2 linked regions of the Medicago truncatula genome follow. The protein of the gene in region 1 interacts with the protein of each later gene in a pairwise test. Links are inferred from orthologs where the notes say so. Each region holds a gene or a part of one and is shown on either strand. Other genes may lie near its edges.

What was found.
Region 2: the proteins of NKAP-like protein (region 1) and high mobility group nucleosome-binding domain-containing protein 5 interact in a two-hybrid assay, tested with the Arabidopsis thaliana proteins (2 studies listed by BioGRID). The link is inferred for Medicago truncatula from reciprocal best matches to the Arabidopsis thaliana genes AT4G02720 and AT4G33690.

Annotation. Positions count from the first base shown.
Region 1 is NC_053049.1:11,042,516-11,055,580, reverse strand, and holds NKAP-like protein, read left to right. Parts: upstream 1-6,599; 5' UTR 6,600-6,652; coding exon 6,653-8,113; 3' UTR 8,114-8,120; intron 8,121-11,426; 3' UTR 11,427-11,817; downstream 11,818-13,065. Other genes in the region: protein REVEILLE 5, read right to left, coding at 301-420, 548-727, 819-942, 1,427-1,484, 3,849-4,090.
Region 2 is NC_053043.1:2,417,463-2,430,506, forward strand, and holds high mobility group nucleosome-binding domain-containing protein 5, read left to right. Parts: upstream 1-7,430; 5' UTR 7,431-7,534; intron 7,535-8,606; coding exon 8,607-8,775; intron 8,776-11,172; coding exon 11,173-11,434; intron 11,435-11,923; coding exon 11,924-12,455; 3' UTR 12,456-12,660; downstream 12,661-13,044. Other genes in the region: E3 ubiquitin-protein ligase RBBP6, read right to left, coding at 22-123, 217-306, 388-469, 559-1,641, 2,136-2,203, 2,316-2,380, 2,537-2,693.

The sequences.
Region 1 (13,065 bases):
AAAAACCTCACACACAAGTTCCTTCCTCCACTTGTTAAAATCCTAATAAATGAAAATATTTATTTTCACCAAGTTGAATCTTGTAGAAAACTTCCACCATTGCATAAGTATGACAGACAATTGGGAGATGTCAAAACAATCGAACTATGGTTTTCAGAATTTGGTTATAGTTAATTCAATCAAATCACAAGAAGCACAACACTATTACAAACAATCATAGGATCCTTTATAAGATTAATTTATTAAGCTATTGTGTTAAGCAGAATCAAGTTCAAATTAGAAACAAAGAAGAATTCTAACCTTTAACAGGCTTGCCCGTGTTGCCTTCATTAATCCCTTTACTACTTTGCTTCTCATTGCTGCTGCTATAGCAACAATTAACAGGAACGGCTTGTCCAGATCCAGTCCATCCCGTGTCATCTAACAATCAAAAAACTTTCCAAGTTAGCATAACTTTCATCGTTGCTAGAACAAACAAAGTGAAAAAGTCCAATTTTTAATGATAAATGTAGGGAAAAAAGCATAATGGCGTTCAGAACAAACAAACCTGTAGTCACTTGAGGCAAACTGGCTGGCGGTGGAGCATTAAAATTCAGAGATGATAAAGGCAGATTAGTAACTGGTGTACCAAGCACAGATGATGAATCTGTGCTATAAATGTAAGTTGGGTCAACAAAAGCAGATGAAGGTTGCAATGTCCCCATGACTTGGGGGGATGCAGTAGGAGCTGATAATGCAAAAATAAAAACCAGTGTTATTCCATAATTCATACAATAGACAAAGGCGACTGGTAATCAAATATGGTCGAGTACGCTTACCGTTTTTGGGAGCTTTTTGAGGGTATGGGTGAGCAGCTTTTCTCTTTGGCCGAGGAGGAGGTACATGTTCACTTGTTCCACTCTTCTGAACTTTGAGAAAATACTTCTGTGCATGACTTCGTATCTACAAAAAATAATTATGCATAGAAGGGTAAATAAAGGAAAATTTGAGGAACATATAAGGAATGTCAACATATTCATCATAAGGAAAAATGATAAAAACAAACACTACACTCATTACATAATTCAAGATGAGTAAATGACTTTATCACCTTTCGTTTAATCTTAATTAACCATTCAACAAAAGTAACAACCAAAAGGTTTATTTCTTAACCCATCATCAACTGTCAGGTTTTTTAAGAAAAACATCACAATTAACATAAGTCCCCAAGTACTGTTTGGAAATCACCATGTCACTGTTCTATTCAAGTATATATTCAGTAATGACACTGAATAAATTTCGCAAAATACACAGTATTGAATTCAAAATTTAAGAATGATGAAATACTGAATAAATTTATTATTTAAATGCTCTGAAAGAAACCAAAACCATCTAACGTCCAATAATAACTTGTCCTTTGTTTCCCTTTGAATTTTATGATAATTACCTGGATAACTGTTTTTGAACCAACAAAGGCTTCGATCTTCTTCCAATCACGATCGAATCTGAAATTAATCATCAGTAACACAGAAGAAAATGAGCACAAATAAACCACTAACCAGACACCACAAAACATGGTATAAACCACTAATCAGACACCGCAAAACATGACATAGCACTTACTGGAGAACACAATCTACTACAGCCTACACTCACAAATGGTAGAATCAATGTCAATTCTATGGATTTCCCTAAACTCGTATCCGTGACCATTATATTTTCTAATATTTTTCTCAAGGTAGTGAATTATGCAACCATGGAGTTTCGAAAGAATATAAACCCTAATTCTTTCAATTATTAATCTTCGCATAATCTGCAAGCTATAAAAAAATTAATGTAGATGAAACGATGTCTATAATTAAAATTAGATAATGAAACACTGTTTGAATCATGATTGAATCAGGTCTTTCCTCACATCCCCAATCATGCATTCACATACGACCTAAGAATCCATCTAAAACACATTTTCATAGCAGAATCTGCATTTTGCAGACTGTTACTTAAATGAAGGGGGCAGCAGCCTTATAACTCGGGTATTAACTTCAAGCAGTGGTACTTGTTCGATGAGGGATCCTTAGAAGAGAAAGACTGTAAGAGGTTACTATTATTATTGTGGCTGAAAAGTTTAAGTAAAAAACGTTGTAAATAAATAAACCATAAACACGAGAGGCCATAACCTGAAAATAAAGGACAATTTCTATTTCTATAAACTATAATACTTACAATCCCTCTTTCAAATCATTATTTCAATTCCCAGTCTCCAGTAGTTGGTATTAAGTAAACTAAAATCCCAATTCTTGTGAATAGTGTAAACATTACAAGGATCAGAATAAAGATTGTAATCAACGCAGGAAGAAGAGTGATAATAGTAGACAAGTAATTGAAGTGATTAAGAATGTGGGGAGAAGTCTAGATTATCATTCCATACTAGAATGCAACCCACGCCTTTTGTTACAACCCATTTTGATTTAGAAGATGTTGCGAGTGTCACAATGCATAACTAAGCAAAAGACAGGGGCCATCTTCATTGTATTTTTTTTACCTTAAAAACTTCAAATCACTGTCACTACTACACAAATCCATATTCTTCCAACTCAAACCTTTTACTATATAAACATCATTTCCTTGCCGTTTCAAATCTAAGTTTAAGTAGAGAAAGATAAACCCAAAAGAAAAACATGCAAACTTTCTTCACAAACTGAATGAAAAATTTAAACTTTGTTGTAAACAGATTGAAAAATGTTTCATTTGGTACTACCCAGAAAAGAAAAGTGAAGACGATTTTGAATACAAAATGGTGGTGCTTTAATTACGATGTGAAAGAGAGTGATAAAGGCTTACAGAAAGTTGACGAAGAAAAGAACAATATTATATACATAGCGCTGCCACTGGAAGTGTGTATGTAGGGATGTGGATTCAAACTAGGATTCCGCACTTCTCAACATACGACACTTATGTCAGTGTTTAGCAGCTAGACTCTTCAAAACCAAAAAATAAATACTAGTAACAATCAAACTATATCAAATTTCTTTTTTGGAAAAATAGGGTAAAATTGTTGTAAAAGGGGGAGTCTTGGCGGTAAAGTTGTTGTCATGTGATTGAAAGGTCGCGGGTTCAAATTCTGAAAACAACCTACTGTGTAAAAAAACAAGATAAGGCTGTGTACAATACACCAAATGGTGGGACCCCTACCCGAACCCTGTTTATGCAGGAGCTTCGTGCATTGGGCTGCCCTTTTTTTCTTTGGGTAAACTTGTGGATAAACTCCAATTAAAAAACCAATTTTGATCATTGAAAATCATTGGTCTTCACTAATTACTTGACTGATTAACATTCCTGACTCACGACCAAATATCACCTTTAATCATCAAGAAAACTTGAGAACAGTGAAATTCCACAAAAATATAGGCAATCGCAAATTTTCATAAACCCCGGCGCTGTTTTAAACAACTTAACGAGCAGCTGATAGCATAAGCAATTATCTTATATCAGCGCTTATTATAAGCTATTTCCATAACAAAAGATAAAATAAAGTCAAATTGTTTTCGAATAAGCTATAAGATCCTGAAGAGCTTATGGAAATAAGCTGAAGACAACTTATGAACAAGTCATAACTCATAAGCGATTTTCATAAGCTCTCTCGAACAGTAGATAAAATCAAATAAGTCCCAATTCAAACAGGCCGCTAATCTTTTTCCTCAATAATAATAATCCTAAGTAAATGTAAATCCAAACAGACCCTAATTCATCAAGAAAATTCAAAAACACCAAAATTCCCGACATAATCATTTTCCACAATATTCAATAATGATACAAACAGAACCTAATTAATTAACAATATAAGCAATTTCTTCTTCAATCCAACTTACAATTGAAGAGCTTCTAGAAACTTATCATGCTCCTGATCAGTCCAACTCTCTCTAGATTTAGTAATCGTATATGGTTTCCGGATCTTCTTATTAGGATCCTCAGGAACGGTAGATGCTGCGGCGGCGGTAGTAGATGGCGGCGGAGGTGGTGGAGGAAGATTGTTAACACCGGGAAGAGCCATAGTTGAAGGATCGAAGAAGTAGAAACCTTGTGGTGTTGGATTAGGGTTTATAGATACCATAACCAAAACCGTAATTTCGATTATCTCGCGTGTATGTGTCTGTTGGTGTAGTTTACTTTACTGTTGCTCTTGTCTTTGTTTTGTTCGCAGTGTTTGGTATTTGATAAACGACGAAGCGTTGTAATGGACATTCTAGAAATTTGTTGGTGGTTAATGACTGTATGTATGTACACGTGACATCAAGTAAAAACAATGTCGGCTGCTTTTTTCACTCCCACAAAACCGATTTCACTATTTGTTTTGCATTTTTTTTTTTACACAAGTATTGAACAACAAAATAGAGAAATGTTAAAACAGTGTTTTTGGCATAGGATAAGAGAATAAAAATATTGTATTAGAAAATTATGAAAAGTAATGAATTTAAATTTTAAATATTTAAAATGACGTTGAATCCAATGCAAACATGATATTTTTGGTTTCTTTAACAAATGTTTTGATGGTATTTTTGTTAGCATAACCCAACAAAATAAATGAGTGAATAAGTAATTATCTCTGAAATTGTAAGTTGTGTCAGTTACCCTTTGACATTAACAAAATTTTAATTATCCTTCGAAATTGCATAACATTAATCAATTTCGTCTTTCGTGGTTCTGTTAAAGGCGATGATGTGGTTATTTGATGCTGACATGTCAATGCTTGCTGGCAAAGGGTAACTGACTGAATGAGAAAAGTCACGTATATAACTTTTTTATAATTTTTCCCCAAATACCTCCCTAATTTCACCCGACATTCCAAAACAACCATTTGTCTTTTGCTTACCCTTTCAACACTTTCAACCGCGTCCAACCAAAAGTCACATGAACTACCACCAATCGTCGCCTTGCGTCCTCAGTTGCGGATATCACAATCTTCATCATTCTGTCACCGTAAGACCCATATACATAAGGTACGCTTCTCATAAGTTATGCAACCTTGTAGCTATGTTTTTGGTCTAAAAAAAAACTACCATAATGGTGGAATTGGTCTATGTTTTGTATCTAAATCTTCCTGTTTGAATGGTTTTGCATGTTAAAGATTTTTTTTTTTTTTATAAATAAGGTTGATATGGGAATAATCGTTCTCTTTTACCATTTTAATCATCCTATTATCGTTTATATGCGATATTATAGTATTTGAATGTTGTTAATTCGTTTGATTTTGCATGTTTATATGATGTATGTTTTTTTAAGGGTAAGTTGTTATCGTTTATATGGGGGCATATCACTTGCATGTATCATGGAGGGAGGTCTGTAAGAAATGGAAGAGGTAACCATGAATATACAATGAAAGGACGACGTGTGTGGGGAGGATGTAGACCTAGACCTCTTTTGCATATTTGATATTGAAAGAATGGTTGTGGAGTGTGGTAATTATGGGAGTGTTGAGGGTATGCAGTGGATGAAGAAAAAACTTGGCGAAGATTATGATTTGGGGTTGATGTCATTAATTGTTAATAGCGACGTTGTCAACATGGTTGACGCTGCAAAAGAAATGGAAATTGTGTTGACGTATACGTTACTCTTGCACATTATGTTATGGAGTGTGTAGAGGTGGAGCCTATCATTGAAGCTGAAAGGGAAGAGATTGAAGAAGCAATGATGTTGGCTAAAACTCAAATAAGAGCGTGTAAAGTATCCAAAGAGCCAGAGAAGAATGCTGACATGGAATTTGTCCAAGGACTTGTTAGGGAAGTTCAAACACATACTTAAACAAGAGTTGATTTAGAGCCAGACGATGTTTTGGGTCAAGAGTCTCAAGCAAGGCAAGAAGGTCCAGAAACCGTTTTCATTAACCGGTCTCAAGCAAGTTCAAAAACATACTCAAATCATCTGGAGTATTGCGACTACAAAATAATTCAGACTTCTGGAGATTAATGGCTTGCACCGAAGCTTCTTCATAAGTAGTCAAAATATTTTTCATACAAACATCCTCACTCTCACAAGCTTTAAAGAAAAGAAAACAATCGTCTGCAAAGAGAATGTGAGAAATAACTGGTGCATTTGTGCATATCGAAGTACCTCTAATATTATTGCAACGTTCAGCTTCACGAATAAGGGAGGAGAGTCCTTCAACACAAATGATAAATAAATAAGGTGAGAGAGGATCCCCCTGACGGAGGCCGCGTCCTGGCACAATAGGACCCACTGATGCTCCATTAACCAAAATCGAGTAATCAACCGTCTCAACACAAAGCATAATCCAACTAACCCATCGAGATAAAAAATCCCATTTGAATCATGATTTCTCGTAGGTAATCCCAATCTAATCTATCATATGCTTTACTAATGTCCAACTTAAGTGCAACATCTCCACTCTTTCCCTTTACCTTAGCCTTCATATATGTTTATTATATACATGTTCATCTAGTTTGTTACATTTTTTAAATGGTAAAAAAAAAAATTAAACATTTATGTTTATTACATTTTTATTTTAATATTTAAATTTATTCTTATTTATTTATTAAATGTTTTGTTTATATTAAAAATTGAGAGCATTTTTTAAAATAAAAACCAGCCCAAAGAAGGTTGGTTTCTTTTGCGAATATTAGAACCTAAATAACAATCCAATTTGCACATTTTTACCATGGCAAGACTCTCCTCCACCATCGAAACCCCTTACCAACGCCATAGACACAACGATCGCCGCCGCACTCCCGACTCCGATGTCTCCAACGATCGCCCTCGCTACCGTCGTAGCCCTAGCTACGACTCCTACGACGATCGTCACACAGACCGCCACCGTCGCCGTTCAATATCCCCTGAAAACCGAAACCCTAGACACCACGATAACGGAAATTCAAACGGAAACCATCTTCCAAAGAAATTCGGACACCGTAATAACGGTTCCTATCTCGACCGCAACGATTCTCGGCGTAACGAGTCTGAATCTGATGAAGAATTGAAGGGATTGAGTTATGAAGAGTATCGCAGATTGAAGAGGCAGAAGATGAGGAAATCGTTGAAGCACTGTATTTGGAATGTTACGCCGAGTCCTCCGAGACGCGAGAACGATGATCTTGAAGATTATGGTAAACCTGAAGAAATTTCTGAGATAATTGATGTGAAGAAGGATAAGGAGATTAAACAGAAAGCAAAATCTGAGTCTGAATCGGAGGAATCTAAAGAATCTGATTCGGAATTGAGGAAGAAGAGGAGAAAAAGTTATAAGAAGTCGCGTGAAAGCGATAGTGAATCTGAGTCTGAATCAGAAGTGGAAGATAGGAAGAGGAGAAAGAGTAGGAAGTATAGTGAAAGTGATAGCGATACCAATTCCGAAGAAGAAGATCGTAAGAGGAGGAGGAGAAGGAAGAGTAGTAGAAGGAGAAGGAAGAGTAGCAGGAAGAAGAGAAGGTGTAGTGATTCAGATGAGAGTGAAACTGATGATGAATCTGGCTACGATGATAGTGGAAGAAAGAGGAAGCGATCGAAACGGAGTAGAAAAAGTAAGAAGAAAAGTTCTGAACCGGTTAGTGAGGGTTCGGAGGAAATTGAGTTGGGTTCTGATTCGGCTGTTGCGAAGATTAATGAAGAAATTGATGATGTTGATGAGGAGAAGATGGCTGAGATGAATGCTGAGGCTTTGAAGTTGAAGGAATTGTTTGAGTCACAGAAGAAACCGGCTTTGGATGATGATGAACCACCGGTTGGACCAATGCCGCTTCCAAGAGCTGAGGGGCATATAAGTTATGGTGGTGCGCTTAGGCCGGGTGAAGGAGATGCTATTGCGCAATATGTTCAACAAGGGAAACGTATTCCCCGGAGAGGAGAAGTGGGTCTTTCTGCGGAGGAGATTTCGAAGTTTGAGGAACTTGGTTATGTGATGAGCGGTAGTAGGCATCAGAGGATGAATGCAATTCGTATTAGGAAAGAAAACCAGGTTTATAGTGCTGAAGATAAGCGTGCTTTGGCTATGTTTAATTATGAAGAGAAGGCTAAAAGGGAGCATAAGGTTATGGCTGATTTGAATCGGCTTGTGCAGCGTCATATTGGTCAGGATGTTGGTCCAATTCATGATCCTTTTGGTGCAAAAGATGGTTCTGATTGATATTCATGTATGTTAGCTTGTGTTCTTTCGCTTTATTTGTAGTTGTTTTTGTTTTGCTGACTATGTTATTCAGACAATCTGTTTAGACTGAGAAAATAGAGATATAGAACTTATTGTCTTCGTTAACTTAGCAGTTGAATGAATATTCAGACAATGGTGTATGTTTTTTTAATAAATGATTAAGTAACTACTATATAAACAGCTTGGTTTGGTTAATACTGTGTATATCTGATTATGTGAAATTGCTATAGATTGGTAGATTTATCATTTATTGCAACTTGTCAAGCATGTGGAGTGGTTTTGATTTAAGAAACTAGTTGTAAAGCATGTTGATTGGTTTTGATAATAGAAACTAGTTATTTGCTGCTGTCGTGTTTGTGGTTGAGGAAATGATATTACCCAATTTCGAGTTTCCCTTCGTGCTTTTTGGCTGCGGATTGCTCATGTTCGTTGGTATGGTGTATAATGATATTTTTATTGGGTTGGGGCCTCACCTTCCTGGAGACTCAACAATATTGAACTTGTTTGTTAAATCAGGGCCAAAACACCATTCTTTTGATTGCTGCTGTTAATGTTTTTTTTTTTTTTTTTTCTGAATGGCAAATGTTAGTGGTTAGTTGTTGGATTAAATTTTTTCTCCTTCGCCTGGGTTTGAACACTTGACCTCCTTATCCCTTGGCTCAAACCAATTGAGCTACCCAACCCCCCTGGTTGATGTTATATGTCCAGGATTTGAGGTTTAATCTTCTGAGTTCTGATACAAATTGGATTCTTTTCACACTGTTGAAATGTGAAAAGACAGGAGTATTTTTCTAGCCAAGTATGTCCAAGATTAAGGGTTACAAATTGAAAACTGTTGAAAGTGACGGGAGTATTTTGCTAGCCAAGGTTTTTTGTACCTGAAGCCTTGCCTAATACATTCATTTCACACTGTTATCTGGCTATCTATTCCTTTCGTACCATGTCTCTCATTTTCTTTCTATAATTATCCCTCTCTTACATCTCTTGGTGCAACCTGCACACATTCCAAGTGGTGTTTGAATAAATCTATATTGTTTTATCTGTAAAATGTTATTTTTACTTTTTATATTCCAAGTGGTGTTTCAAATATAATGATTTTCTTGCATGCCGAGGCTGTTACTCGTATGTATCAAATATTCATCCTGTTATATTGTGCTTGTAACTCGTCTACTGCTTTGTGAGATGCAACCTAGCAAAATGAGTCTCCACAATGTTCAGACCATTCTAATTTTTATTTTTTTTTATGGTCATCGCATCATTCTAGTAGATACCTCAGAAAAACTAATCCTTTATTCTACTAATGTTTTTGGTTCAAAAAATCCATGATGCAAAAGCCAATTTTTTTTAACAAGGTGCAAGTGCATGATGTCACAATTGAGTGTGATAAATCCATGTTTGGGAGAAAAAAAGAGGGAAATACTTTGGAGATTTTTAAACCCCCAAAAATTGTGTGTGTGGGGTGGGGGGGTTAACTTTAAAGTACATTTTTACTGCAGCTCTCTCTTGTAAACGCCACTCTCCCTCGATTCTCTCTTTCTCTCTCTCCATCGTTCTCTCAGTCGGTCACTTTCAAGATTAAAAAATTTCACCGTCTTTTGCGGTTTCTGTCCAATTCTCACCATTCATTACCTCACTCCTTCCATAGTTGCTCTATTTTTTTTTTGTTGAAATTGATTAATTGATTTTTGTTTCTTCATGAATCGTGGTTAACAAAGCTTGCTTGAGTGTAGGCTTTGACTAGTGCTGTGAGTTCATTTTTGTTGAACCAACACAGAAGTGTGTTTTTGCTTCTTGCTTTACAAAGTTATCTGGTTTAATGCTTGAGTGAAAGATTTTAGGGTTTGTTTTTCTTTCTGAGATTGGGTTCTCAATCCCATCTGTTTCTGGTTTTGTTGATAGGCCGTCGTCGGTAAAAAAAACTAGTTTTAGATTCCTCTGGAAGTACCAGAGTTGCTAACTGCTCTAATTTTCACACATATCACAGAATTTTATGAATGAAAAATTTCAGCAAACAAGAATCTATAGCTTTTTTGTCACCATTGTAAGAGATCAACTAGTGTCATTTCATCTTGTAAAATGATTTATGATTCAGATTTTAGTGTATTAATTAGGTTGGATTAATCAGTTTAATGATAAACAAACAAAAAGAAAGCTGTGGTGTATTGTACTTACCAGCACTGGAATCTAGATAGAAATTTTATCAGACTGTATCAATATGTTCGATAGATATGGTTGTATTTCTTGATCAAGAAGACCTCTTCCATTTCAGTTGATTTTTGTTTTCTCAGAAGGAAAGCTATATTTAGAGTGTATCTAGAGCTTTTGATTCATATATTATGACTGCTTCATAGAAACAGAATAATCCTTTGCACACTAGGTGGTGCAACTTTGGACTATATATTAAATCTATGATAAATGGGTAAATGCACTGCCATTTTTGGCAAGCCAATCATTAGGTTAATATAAAAAGTCAAAATCCCTATGCTCGTTCTGATATTCTTGCTGCAAGCAAGACTGCCATATGTTTTATTTGGTTTAAGTTTATGTGAAGTATTTATGTCTTACTAATGTAATATGAATTTTTCTTACTAAGAGAAACTTGAACACCACCCAAACAGAGGATGAGACATTAGATGTTTTTATAATGTTGCTTGGGATCAATTCTGGGACATACTCTTCACCGTGAACTCGAAGTTTGAAAACTCTCAACCCTGCTGACCTCTTTTACGTAATTGTGAAAGCCAAGAGAAAGATATATATCAATATTCACTATCTGAGTTGTAGAAATTCAAATTCTCTGGGACATACTCTTCACCGTGAACTCGAAGTTTGAAAACTCTCAACCCTGCTGACCTCTTTTGCGTAATTGTGAAAGCCAAGAGAAAGATATATATCAATATTCACTATCTGAGTTGTAGAAATTCAAATTCTTGCTGTCAATTTGAATGGGTTGTTTGTACATGTAGACTGTCCTGTATGCTGTTTCGTGTTGGCATACATATATATATATATTATGTAAGTCATCAAATGCGCGTGTGGCTGCACTAGCGGCTGCACTATTCTCAAATCTTGAGTATTATTTTAATGCATGAATCACATCATACCTGAGTTTCTTCCTCCGCTTCTCTTTATCTTTAACTTGACAACCTTCGTTAGTTCAAACAATGAGAAACTTGCTCTGGTGTTGCACTCATTTTCTTCCTTTGTTCCTTTACTGGTCTCTGTTGCTGCTGTTGTACCTTCCATTGTCTTTTCTAGGTTTTTCATCTTCTAACAACTCTCTTATAAGCAGGTGATGAAGGAAAGTGAGATAGGAGTTGTGAAGTGATCATGGAAGAAAACGTCATCAGTTGGAGATAAATCAATTGCAAAGGATGATTGAGCATTGGATTTGTCATGGACTCTTGTGGAGCAAGAGTGGAGAGAAGTTGTTTAGGAGAACTCTTGAGAAGATGAAGAGGAGGAGGATGGTGAAGAAGGATGCTTTGGTGATGCAGCTTATAACTGAATCGACTGATTAATTTTTCCGCCTTCAATTTGTTTTTCTACATTGTTTTCTCTGCTCTTTTGGTGTTGTGTTCCATAACAATTGAGGTTTGTTTTGAAAGACAGACAAGATTCTGAAATTCTAGCTCTATAATAACTTACTTTCTGGTGAAGAGAAATGGAAAGCTTTTTTGTTATCTTCCTCTTTGTTGTGTGGATGTTAATAAAGATTTTTAGAGGCGTAAATGAAAAATAATATATTTATAGGTCTAAAACTAAACGAGAGTAAGGTGAAGGAAGAGCGGTAGTGAGAGAGTGCTAAAGGTGACAGAATATTCCGTGTCTTTGCTCAAGTCATGGTAAGGTGAAGAAAATAGTTTAAAATTTGTAGCCTACCAATCAGAGGGCATACCAGCATGCTAAATCTATAAATTAAATATGGTTAGGTAGTGAGTTGTGTTAATTCTATTATATGTGAACTATGATCTCCACAACGTTTATTGAATTTGTAAATTGGTCTATCTAGTTATTTAATTATAGATGACCAATTTTGTCTAACATGCACAAGTAAAGTAAATTACTTTTCTTTTGCTTTTCGTCCTTGCTATGTAATATTTTGATGTGTCCCACCCATTAGTGTATGTAATGCGATTATCCATCATCCTACATTGAAAACAGTTGTGTATCTAAAACTTTGGATCAGAAGTTCAAACTTTGAACCCTCTCAAAAAGGGATAGCTCAACCCCTAATATAGCATATTTTCAACTCAGATTTCTCTCTGTTTCTTTTCTAATTTCACAGTCTTTTCTAATTAACAACATGCATCATTAGAAACATTTGCAACAAAGAAACAAAAGGCAGGCTCTGTTAACAGATACTTCAATCAAGAATAAAGATACAAAATGAACATGTCATAATAACTAGATGAGTAACAAAAAATTATCTATGAAAAGATGGTTCTAATTCATCTTGACAGTAATAATAAATTCTACATTCTTTTCAATCAAACTAGAATAACCTAGGTGAATGAGCAGAACAGACTGTGAACCAGACCTAATCAATGGTGCACATAGCCAAATTCTAATTTGAACAAAGGAAACACGATCCATGGATACGATCACCATTCGATGTTGAACCAGACCTAATCTAATCTAATGGTGCACAATCCATATCAAATGAAAATTGATTTTCTTCATATTCTTCCCCTCATCGTCCATCTCCGGCCACCAACACCTTCCACAATCCCCACTACCTCTCGATGCCTCATTTCATCAAGTTGCCCATCTGCATTTGAAGCCACTGCATTAATTGCATGCAAAACCAACAGCTCCAGTCACATGGGAAGCCTACGATTTAGCAGTCCCTGACTGTAGTAACCTTTTGATCTCAAGGCTGCCAAGTTGCGGGATTTGTCTTCGACCACCAGATCTCACCCAAAGATGGT
Region 2 (13,044 bases), on another chromosome or scaffold:
CAATGAAACTTAATTGCTTACATTCTTATGTTTCTTTATTGCATTGCCATCTTTAGCAGTGATTTCTTTCAAGGGTGATGTGATTTTTTTCTCCAGCTTTGCTTCTTTGAGAATTCCCCTTTCCTGCGGCATACAATACATCATAAATCACACGCTAGATGATTTCAACTTACTTCTAAACTAAATAAACCAATGAGAACAGAAGCCCTTACTTACATCAGTTCTGAACTTAAACGGCTTAGGATTTGTGGGCTTTAATTTTCTGTATTTTACAACTTGAGAACCAGTTGTTGTCGATGTAGATTTCTGTTTCAAGGTCATAAAGATTATCAATCAAGTAGGTGGGAAGTTAAAACAACATCAGTGAGATTCTAAACTAGGCCAAACCTTATGTATTTTTCCATCCTCCTGCTTGCTTTCAAGAATGTTCTTTTTGGAACCGTCATTGATGGTGCTTACATCTCTGCGGCTACAATTTTTTTAATGATTACTTTAAGTTTAAGAAACTAAAAAAAAAGCCGGCATAAAACATACTTTGAGACAAATCAAATTACTTACATATTCTCACAAGGCGCTGAAGAGTTTTCCTTGTCATCATTCTCATTAAGTTGAATCTCATTTTCTTTATCATCAGAAGACATTGAACTTCCTACAGCCTTTCTCTTTTTGGCTTCAGGAATTCTTCTCTTGTGTGAGACTGTGATCCTTTTCTCTTCATTTTCACTCTCTTCAATAGTTTTCTTCTCTTCATTATTCGAACTTGACAGTGAGGTAATATCATCTCTAGAAACTTCTGACCGAGTTAGAACTGAACTCTTCTCTTCTTCGTTTGAACTTGACAGTGAAGTAACATCATCTCCAGAAGCTTGTGACAGAGTTAGAACTGAGCTCTTCTCTTCTTCTTTCGAAGTTGACAGTGAGGTAATATCATCTCTAGAAGCTTCTGACAAAGTTAGAACTGAACTCTCTCCTCTTTCTAGAGAGTCACTCCTTGATTTTTCTTCCGTCTCCAACTCACTAGAGTCACTTTCATGCGGCACGGGAACATGGTTTTTCTCCATAGCTTTCGCTTTCTTCTCTTTTAGACATTTAACAGTGTTATTTTCTGGTTCGTTTCGATTACTAGAATACAATGAATCAAACACACGGCTTTTAACCTCTCGTCCCTTAAATTGCACCTTTCTAGAGGAACCCACTGGCAATGAGTTGTTACATCCTTCTCCATTCTTCTTCACTCCATTAAATTCAAGCTTCTTCATTGCAGAACACAATGCTTTCATGGATGTTTTCAATTCCACAGAACTCTTTGTCCCAACCACCTTCTTTGGTGAGTTAAAAACCAATGCCTTAGCCACTACCCTGCTCTTAGGCTTCGACACAGCAACAGTCAATGATTTCTTGTTCTGAACACTTCTAAACTGTTCCAAATTAGAAACCTTCTTTTGATTCCTTGGAGTGGTCAAAGCCTTACTCACGGAGGGTGATTGCTTCACCTTGGCTTTTGGGGTTGCAGCAACCTTAGAAAGAGGTTTGACAACTTTCACTTTATTCTCAGTCACCTTGTGTGACAATGAGGAAATGAAATCCATTCTTGACATCCTTGGCTTTGCAGGAGCAGTATTCGGGCACTTCAAATTCGAACTGAAAAATAACAACAGCGAAAAATTGTGTCACTTTAAAGGCTCTACTACACAAGATTTTTAGTCCAATCACATCAGGATTCTTGATATTGTTTATGACTAGCAGCTTGTTTTGATCGACTTATTTGAGATTATCTACCGGCATAAACACTTATTATACCTTTTGTGAGAACTAATGGAAACCACTTATGGCATGTTCATAGCTATTTTCAGCTTATTTCCATAAGCTCTACAGGATAAAATATGCAAACAACTTATAGATTATATGAAGACAATTTGACTTTGTTTCATCTTTTGTCATATAAATGGCGTATGGCTTATAGACTTATGCTTAAGCACTTATATGAAGAACACTTAAAGGGCATAATTGAGCTGTTTATCTAAACATAACCTAGATTGCATTTGAAAACCATTTTCAAAACCCCAACTTTACCTACTATACTAAGAAATTATTTGAAAAATTTGTTCACGATACAAGTGTTAATAGTTGGCTACCTCGCTTCTCTTTCTCTTCGATTCAATGCTTTTCTAAGCCGAACATTGGGGCTTCTAGCTGCCATAACCTGAAAATCCAACACAAATTTGAGAAATACTCGTTACACATTACTCATTACTAATTAATTGTTCTTATGACCAAAACCAAAATCAATAAAGCAAGTCAGGTCTAGAAGATACCCGAAGAACAAAATTCTTGTAAATTGCTTCAGAATCAAACTCTTCTTCATGCTTTTGGTCACATCCTGAGAATTGAGTTCCAATTATCAAAATGAAAACATCTACAACACTGCATATCCAATGTGAGACACATATGTGAATGTCTGACACGGACACATGTCACTATTGTGTCTGGTGTCTGTGTGAGTGCTTCATAGATGAAAAATAAAAAAAATAATTACCAAAGCGAGCGCAGAACCAGTGACGGTCATCATCAGGACGGCGTTTATCAGGTTTGGTGAGGTCGACAAACTTAGGTGCTTCGATCTTCTCGTAGAAATCGTCGTCAATTTCTATTTCCTCTTCTTCAATTATAGGCAAGAATCGATTTTCTGACATTATTTTGTTAAGAGCGTTACAGTAACACAGTGTTGTTTTTGTTTTGGTGTTGTAACAACAAGTTTAGATTGTTCGAAGAATTTTAAAGTCCCGTGTAACTAGCCGTTACGATTCAGACAGGCTGGTAAGAGAATAAAAGAAACGGTATTCAAGGGTTCTTTTCGTCATTTCGAGTTCAAATTGGGCTTGAGGTTGGACTCGACCCGAGACCAAATGATTTCTTTTTACACTTCTCAATATCTCTTGGACCCCGAAATTCTGTTTTTATCTATAATATATACATAGCCGAAGGGTTTGAAAGTTATCTTCGGAAAACTGTTTTACCCGTAATGTATATGTATGATAGATACATGGCTAAAATATGCTTTTAGTCCCTGCAAATATAGAGAGTGTAAGTTTTGGTCCCTGGTAAAAAAAAAATTTGTTTTTCATCCTCGTAAAATTTTTTGTTTTTTAAAAAAGTCCCTGGCCCGTTGAAGCAGCCATCTGTCACTATGATGTCGACGTGGCACACGCTGACTGTGCATAAGTAGCCATGTGGCATCTGATGTGGCTTTTATCAATTAAAAAACAAATTTTAAAATTTCAAAAATCATTTTCAGTATTTAAAAATAAATAACTTTATTTTAATTGAATTAAAAAAAGACATAAAAGAGAAAGGGGGAAAATCTGAAACTCCCAAATTGCGTCCTCTCTTCTCATCTCTCCTAAATGGGTTTGTTGTTCCTTCGAAGTGTAATCAGGACAAGTTTTTTGTAGAGGATATTGTTGAATTTGGTTGGCAGTTTAGGTTGGGGTTGGAAGCTGGATCGAAGCCTGAATTGCTTTTGGCTTTGAGCTGTTTGTGTAAAGGTAACAGAGAAGCTTTTCTGGTTTGTAATGGATTCAAAGACAATTTGGTTGGGAGGAAGCTTGCTTTGAACGGTGTTATTGCTCTTGAGCAAGAGGAAGAGCTTAATATGGTGGTTGAGATTAGCAACAAGCTTTATATTCGTCTTGAATTGCTTGCTGATGGTGTTGGGGAAGCTGCACAAATTTATCTATTGCTTATGGGTTAGAAGAGTATGTTGCAGAGCTATTGTTCATGCTGTGTAGTTTTTTTACGAAAAATAAATAAAATAATTGAATCTAAAGCAAAAGAAAAATGTTGTTGTTGTCCTCCACCTGCTTTTTTCTCTCTTGAATCTTGATTCCTTTCGAGTTTCAATCCCACAAAGCAAATGTTGCTGTTGTTCATTCAGATTTGCTCTATACTGATTAATTTTCGAAATTTAATTACATTTCAATTAAATTAAAGCTTTTTATGTATTTTAAATTTCAGAAAATCAATTTTCGAAATTAAAAAACCCTTTTTCTAATTTTAAAAATTGTAATTGCCACGTCAGATGTCATATGGCCACTTATGCACAGTCAGCGTGCGCCACGTCGGCATCAGTGTGACAGATGGCTGCTTCAATGGGTCTAGGGACTTTTTTAAAAAACAAAAAATTTTGCGAGGATGAAAAACAAAATTTTTTTTTACCAGGGACTAAAACCCAAACTCGCTATATTTGCAGGGACCAAAAACATATTTTAGCCTAGATACATCCCAAAAGTTTCGGGAATTATCTTCTAGAGTGGTGAAATAATTATCTTCCTTTTATGCACAAAATATAGTGGTGATCGTTGATGTTTCTAAAAGAAGCTTTTTGATGACAGTCCATCATATCACATTTTTAGAGTCTTTTTAATTAAGTTTTAATTCTATTTTTATTAGTTTAATATTTAATTTAAAGTTATTTTGAATAAATTATCAATTTTGATTGATTGAGTCGAATTGTATTTTATTATTATTATTTGTCAATTAGTGACATGTTTTGAAGGCCAAGGAATGAAAAGAAATTAATGTGCTAGCATAATGAAGAAAAGAAGGTATGAATAGAAACTTAATAGCAAGTTACATGCATAGTAAAAGAAGTTGGGTTGTGACCCGAGAAAACATGAAGCAAGAGTGTTAGAAGTGAATTCTTTGCAAGATTTGTTGAGTGAATCTTGTCATGAATCTTCGTTTTTTCTTCCATTTTTGCAAGGCTATTATAAAAGTAAGTAGCTAAATATATCCTTTAGGGTTAGAGATGCTTGATCAAGTTAATATGAACTCTTTTTGATACTTAAATATAGAATCATATAGAATACACACAAACTAATGATGTGAGAGATACCGGATTGAGCCAAGTTATAAACATTATTAGTTATGCTTTTGTCTAAACATCAACTGTTTAAGAGTTATGATGTGAGAGATACCGGCCATTGGTTTTTGTAATGTTAACAACTGATATATTGTCTCTGATGGAATTTGCAGGTGGACAAGTGACAGTCGTGACGAGTACACCTAGGAAAAGAATAAAAGTGCTTAAAGAGATAGTTTTCTTTACGTATATTAAATTTATTTTTATCTATTTGTTAATGTGTTATTTGTATTAAAAATCAAAGGCATTTTTGAAAAGAAAAATTCAGCCAAAAAAAGCTAAAAGGATAGTTTTCTTTATGTATAGTATATTTGTATTAAAAATCAATGACATTTTTGAAAGAAATAATTCAACCCAAAAAAGCTGGGATAATTTTCTTTATATATAATATAGATCTTTAAAATTGATCAATTTGTTTTTTTTAATAGAAAAACCCAGTTTAATAAAATCGCTAACAATATCATTATTCTATAAATGTATTAAACACTAATATATTGAATATCAATTTTTTAAGAGACACGGAGTAAATTTCATTGATGTTCTCTTCGATGTCAAAAAATATACACTCCTCGCTTATCTTATGCAAAATTTATTGGAAAAAATCGAACTACACTCCATTTGAAAGAAGTTTAAATTACCTATATTTGATCTTTTATGTTAAAATGTACGACTCCTTCCCTTAATAATATTTTTTAATATTTTTCAAAAATAATAATAATAATATTTTTAATAGCCACACGTCGAAAATCTAATATACAAAAATTATGTAGAGAAAAATGATATTAGAGGTCCATTTTAATATAATCAAAAAAAAAATTTTGAAGGAATATATAATCAAAATTTAAAAGCATATTTTTCTCTATTTTAATTCACAATATCATTAACATGTGATTTTCCCCTAAAAAAAATCATTAACATATAATTTTAAATCCTATTATAAACTTTGAAAGAGTACAATATAAAATTAATTTCTTAGAAAAGTTACTAAAGCCTTTTTTTTTTGTGTACATTAAATCATATAAAATATGGCTACTTAAAAATGAATTTTTATTTTGAATCTTTATATCCATAAAAATGTATTTTATATTTTGAATCGTTATATTCATAATAAAATACTGAAATTAATATTGACATTCTATAAAGAAATAAATTATTTTTATGGTGACACATAGTTAGTAAATATTATACAATATTTATTTTAAAATGGATTAAAGCATATCACATACTTAATTTTTAATAGATAAGATTGTAATTCAAACATGTTTTAAGGAATGAGAGTTTATTTTACTACGTAGTTTTACTTTTCAAAGGAATAGAATGTATATTTTAAAATAAAAGAGTGTGGGGCCTGTAATTGAGGTTTGTTACAAAGATATGAAATTACTACTATTTGTTATATTGACGGTATAAATGATGAGTTTTGGCGTAAAGATAAATTTAATTTGTTGTTACGTGGTCATAAGTTCAAGTCTTGGGTATTTTTGAATAAAACGTAGCAAGGTTGTATACAGTACATCAATTAGTTAGACCCCTTCTCAGACTTTGCGTGTGCGGAAGCATTAGAGAATTGGGGTGCTTTTTTATTTTTTATTTTTTATTTTATATTTTGTTGATGTAATTGAAAAATATAAGCAACGTGTTATAATTTGGTGTTATATATTGTCATTGAAATTGAATTTTGATTATCTCCCTAAGTTTCACTTTACTTAACCAACCAACCAATATTGTGCAATATTGTACATGAGTTTAATTATGGTGCAATGATTGTGCAAAGCCAGTTTACACAATCATCTAATGGTCTTGTGCCACATCATTTACTTTTAAAAGGTGTTATTTAAATTATAAAAAAAGAAAAGAACAAAATAAATCCGGTGTGTTACATTCGTGCAGGCATCTTCGTCACATTCTCGCAACTTCCAACTCTGCAACTCTATTGCTTCTCTCCCTCAATACAACAAAAATCAATCGATTCTTTCTCTTTTTTCAATAGAAGGTATCAAATATTTCTAATATCCTACTTTCTTTTGTTCGTGCGAACGAGGTGAACACGACTCTCAATAAATAACCTTCGTTACGACCTGAGAACCATCTTGGAAGAAGATTATGCAAGTGTTGGTCTGAGACATTATCAACAGGTGAAGCGTGGATACAGACACGGACACCAGACACAACATAATCATTGACATGTAATAATTTGAGAAAATTATATAATTAAGTGTAACTATATGTGTTGGTGTGAGACACGACTCATGTCCGACACCGAGACACGAGTAATCCGAGGAGTATATGTGTTTCATTGTTCAATTATAATATTCATATACAAAAATAGATAAAAGATCATAAATTTAAAAATTAAGAGATCATAAGAAAATAAAAATATGAATTTTAAGCTTGAAAATTTATATGCAAATGGTTCAAATGACAAATTTGAAATGAAAATGAAAATAAAAATAAAAATAAAAATAAAAATAAAAGACTAAACTCTTGCCTAAAATTAAAATTAAGTCATCAGATTATGTCAAAAAAATAAATATAAAATTCATGATCTTTTGAATAACGAGCGTTGAAGAGAACAGCGATCCCTTCGACGGTGCCACCGTAGACAGAGACAAAGTAAGCTTCTTTCCGACCAAGTTTTTTTTATTCCCAATTTCGAATCTTTTTCTTCCCTAATTTAATGGGTCTTCATCAATTTCAACTTTGGTGTTTTAATTCGCCTCTAATTCTTCCTATCTGCAAAAAAAAAAACTTAGTTTTTATTTACTTTCATATCTTTCTTCGCTTCAATTTACATCCTTTATATCTTTGATTGAGTTCGTATGGTGGTAGAATTTCAGGGTTTAATGAAATGTTTGATTTTGCACTCTCTGGGTTCAATTTTAAATTTTTGTTTTTTATTTTCTCTTTGATTTGATGTTGAACCCTAATGTGTTGGAAGATCAAAATGGGTCGAATTCATCATGTAGATGAATATGCTATAGTTTTTCTGTGTAATAATCATCATGGTTCATCAATATGTTGAGGGCTGAGGCCTTTCTTTAATGTGAATTTGGGGATGTTTGGATAAACAACTTATTTTCAGCTTATAGCACAAGTTCTTATCATGTTAAGTGCTTATGTATAAGTTATTTCTGTAGCAAAAGATAAAATGAAGTTAAATTGTTTTGATATAAGCTATAAGCTGTTTTTATAAGTTATATAAGAGAACTTATGAAAGTATGCTGAAATTAGCTTGTGAACAATGACAAAAGCTGTTTTAATAAGTTCTTCCAAGCAGTTTCACAAAACTTATGTTAGTAGATAAACTCAAATAAGTCAATCTAAACATGCCCTAATACTTGTGTGCTACATTTTATTATAGCCTAAATGTCTTAGGGATTTGGATACAATTTGAAATAGAGAAAGGTATCTCTTTGTTGGGTTTTTCACTAAACAATGCATAATAGAAAAAGCGAACAGACGGACAATGTCTGTCTTTCCTAGTATGAATAGAAAAGACAGAATGGTATTTGTAGTAGAAGTAATAACCAAAAGCTTTTTGGTTCTTTGAAAAGATTTCTTGCATTAAGAACTCTGAGAAATTTGGAATATCTGAAGATTTTGTTTCTGAATTTGTTTATTTCATTCGTTTAGTCAAAGTCTCATTTTGAGTGTTCCTTACTTTGTTTTTGGCCAATATGATTAGATGGATTTGGAGACTGAAAACAGATTAGCTGCTATGCTTATGAGGGAAGCAGCTGAATTGCGGCGGCAGTCTGAAAAAGAGGGTGTTCTGGCTTATCTTCAAAAGCCTAATGTAAGGAGTCGGCCAAACTCACGTTTTCTCACTGCTACCGTACGTGGGGTACAACAAGGTTCTTCCTTACTGGCTAATTTTAGATAGAGTTTGGTTATTATTGCTCTATATCCCTATGTTTTATGGGTGTGCTTTCGATGAAGGTTTATCGTTGTATGGAAACTGGAAATATTCTTAATAGATTTAATCAGTCTGTTTCTTTGTCGTTGTTCTTTGAAAGTTTTATCATTATATGAGAAATGGAAAATATATTTTATAGATCTGTCTTTTGATCTATTTGGTGAAAGCTAGGTATGCCCTTTGAGTTTCAAACAGTTCTTATAGTGTATCCATGGCTTATTCAAGAGAATCAAATATTTTGATATATTAAAGAGAGATTCATAGGACGTATGGGCTTGTTTTTTTTTTTTTTTTTTTTTTTTTTTTTGCTTATGTATAGAGATCATTATTCACTTCTTTTTGGTTTTGTGCCAAAAATCAAGGGTTGGTCTGAGTTATTTTTAAGCGGACATTCTTCTCATTAGTGTCTTTTTTTAAGAGATTTCTCTTTAGTGTCTTTACACGCAGTCATGCACTAATGTGTGGGTCAAGTTTTAACAGGTATCGTATATGACTGCTTTCCGCCCTAGGTATACATCCAGTACATAACTGGTGCACTTGAGGTGCTTCCTTACAAAGTTATGGGACTTGGATCCACTAAAATGAGGGTTGTAAATTATATGGACTAGCGAGGTTACAATCATTGATTAGGAAATCTGTAGTTGAGATTATGATAAGATACATAAACATACATGCATATACATGGTAAACTAGGAAGTTGTTACAAACTTACAATTCACTCAAATTTTCAATTAACAATTACATTTTCAGACTTTTCATACTAGTGCTCCCCCTCATACAAATATTTGGGTCATAGCAGTGGACGGGAATAAGTCTCCTCTAGTTTGATTCACAAGGGGGAGAGTTGGAAAAGTAAAACTTATTTATCAAACCACGCCAACATTGATAGGGAGTGAAAATTCAGGGAGAATGGATTTTGCCCCCCCTCCCCTCCTGGCCATTTCACCCAACTAAACACTACTAGAGGAGCCAAACCACTGTTTATCTATGTCCCAAGGTCACAACATAAGAAATATTTATTACTGTTAAATTATATCTAACTACTTGAATAAAAACATATCAAATGTTTTTTGGATTTTCAAGCAAATTGTCATTTAACAGGTTGTATTTTAATTTTCAAATATAGCTGAAGGGCACAAGTTAAGAAAACGTTTTCTTTAAAAATATTTATACGATATTTCAATATGGCTTAGATACTATCACAATAAGCCAATATGACTCCAGTACTTGCAGTTTCATGCAAAGCCAAAGCACAAATTGTGACTAATGGTTTGATTGGACGCAGAGAGAAAATGGCTAGCAAGAAAATGAAGCTTAGGGAAGTTAGAGAGAAAATGAGATATGATGATAGTTACTACTATTTATTAATATCTCCCCATAGTGGCAATCTGTAGTAAGCATCACATTATTATTCAGGGTAGTCACTGTCGCTGCTGCCATAGTGGCTGAAATCGTATTAAATCATGAAGTTGAAGCCCGAATATTTTGCCCTCAATTTGAATGTTTTTGTTATACAAAGAGGAGTTGCCGTTCCTTTGTTTAGAAAAAAAATAGGTTTGAAACCCTTGTTTGGTTCTTTACAAAAACACATACCTCTTGGTTATACACTCATACTTTGGTGTTTTCAAGCCACACCTCTACTCCTGCACTTTCTGCTATGATCTTCTTCGTGTCCTCTGTTCCACACCCACCTACTGCTCTAGTCGTCTTTCTTGGTTTGGTTCCCTTTCATCTGCTATGAAACCTCTATTTTATCGACCTTTTAATTTTTTTCCTTTTCTTCATTTAGATATCTTTCCATTTAGGGGGAAAAGGATTGATTGTTGTTGTTGATGTAGATATCTTGCCCTCTGAATATATAGCTTCAATTTTGAGTTTTTATTTTTTAAATTTGAGTTGTCATAACTTAAATATGTGTAATATAAATTTTAAGTGTAGCAGTCATATCATTATCTGCTATCCGGCTAGAGCAGTTTTGGTTTTGCCTTACACACGTTGCAATTTGGGATTCATAACTATAGGCTATATATAAGTAGGATGGAGAGAAAAAGGAAAGAAAGAATTACGAAAACTTCTCTCATTTGGTTAACTGGACAGTTGAGAAGAAAAACAAAATTATTGTGCAAAGACTATTATGTTCTTTTAAAGTAATGGCAAGGGCTTAACTGGGTCAATTTGTCATTTCAAACACAATGTAATTGAAGCACCCCATGTCGAATATGAGACTTCTTTTCTTGAATATTTGTGACATTAAAATAACCATGATCGTATATATGCTGACCTCATAGTTTATCTATATTAATGGAACTGAATTTCTTTTGGTGCTTTCTACCAGCAAATCGAGCTGTCGAAGTAAATGAAATGTGGCGAGCGCGGGAGAAAGAATTGGAGCTAGATAAACGAGTTACAGGCTCATCAAAAGATAAAAGAAGTGATGACAAAAGGCATATGGATCATAACACATCAAGAAGCGCAGAAAGACACGCCGGGGATGATAGAAGCACTAGTGCCTCTGCTTCATGCTCAACTAAAAATGAATACGGGCATACTCAAGAAGGTTTAAAGGATGAAGAGCTTGAGGAGTTTCTACACTCAAGGTATTATTACTCTCTTATACTTTCGGATATTTTATCTGCATGTATGAATGCCTTCAAAATATCTACTGTTGAGTAAATTGACAATTCAGTCCTTGAAACTATAAGGGATGGCTATTCAGCCCCTCAAATTTACGCAATAGCAAAATAGTGTCTTAAATTAAAGAATACTATTAATCAGTCTAGTCCCTGTATCAAAATATTTCTTTATTGAACATCCATCAAAACCAATGAAAGACATACATATAGAATTAAATAGTCTTTTGTTGCATCAAAACAAGTGTAAAACCTTTAAATTGTGGTGCAAAATTTGAAAAAAAGACTAAATTGATTGATATTTTTAAATTTAAGAGACTAAATTGCTATTTCACAAATTTGAGGAACTGAGTTAACTGATTGTTACAATTTCTAGGACTAAAATACCTATTTATTTACTTATAATCTGTCTCTCTTTAATTTCTTTAAAGCTGAGGAAACTCCATTTTGGTGCAGGAAGAAGCGAGGCAGAGGTGCTATTGGTCCAAGGATGGATGAGACTGGACCTTACCTTCCTCCTAATCCTGATGAAGAGCCTTCTACTAGTCCGGATTTTAGGGAACACCGTGCTATTTATGGTCCAAAGAGGCCTCCATCGTTGCAATCATATGAATCTTCTAAGGAGATACTTGAAGGAAAATGGAAAAAGAGGCAGTCATATGAATCTTCTGAGGAGGAGCTACATGAAAAAAAACGGAAAATGAGGCAGTCATATGAATCTTCTGAGGAGGAGCTACATGAAAAAAAACGGAAAAAGAGGCAGTCATATGAATCTTCTGAGGATGGGCTACATGAAGAAAAACGGAAAAAGAGGCAGTCATATGAATCTTCTGAGGATGAGCTACATGAAGAGAAACGGAAAAAGAGTAAAAAATCTCATCATAAAAGCCACTCGGACAAGGTGCATTCTAAGAAGCACAGGTCCAAAGAGAAATCTAAGCATAAGAAAAGGAGAAGGGAGGAGAAAACAAGTAAACATCGACGCTAAGGCTATTCCGCAATCCGATATATTCTCAGAGGTTGTTATAACTAATAACCTGCTGAAACAGTTGATTGGGATGAAACTAATGTTTTGTACTTTGTACAAATGTATTCTGTAACATCAAATGTAATTCCTGCTAGAGATATTAATCCTCTTAGCTATAATAGTATGCACGTGCTTCTCTAATTAAATCCATTTCAGAATATCAAAATTATGGCTTGAAGCTTTTCTGATAAAAATCAAACATGTTACTTCTGCACAAAATTACTTAGAACGTCCCCACCGACTTGCATATACATGTTATTTTGGTCATGCAAGCAATGTTTTTACTCAGATTTTTATATATGTGGAATTGATCGCTTCCGAAACTCTTGAAACTAAATATCACGTCAAGCAACTCGTTATGATTAAAAAATTTAAAACTAAAATAAGCTTTTGTTTGAAGTGATGCTAAACAATATAATATTTAGCAAGAATTTGTCGATATGACTGACTACCTAGTCCCTATCCAAATTTACCTATATAATATTTCTAATGTAGTTACTTCAATTTCAAGTAATAGTAGTATCAGCAGTATTTTTTGTTAACTTCTGTT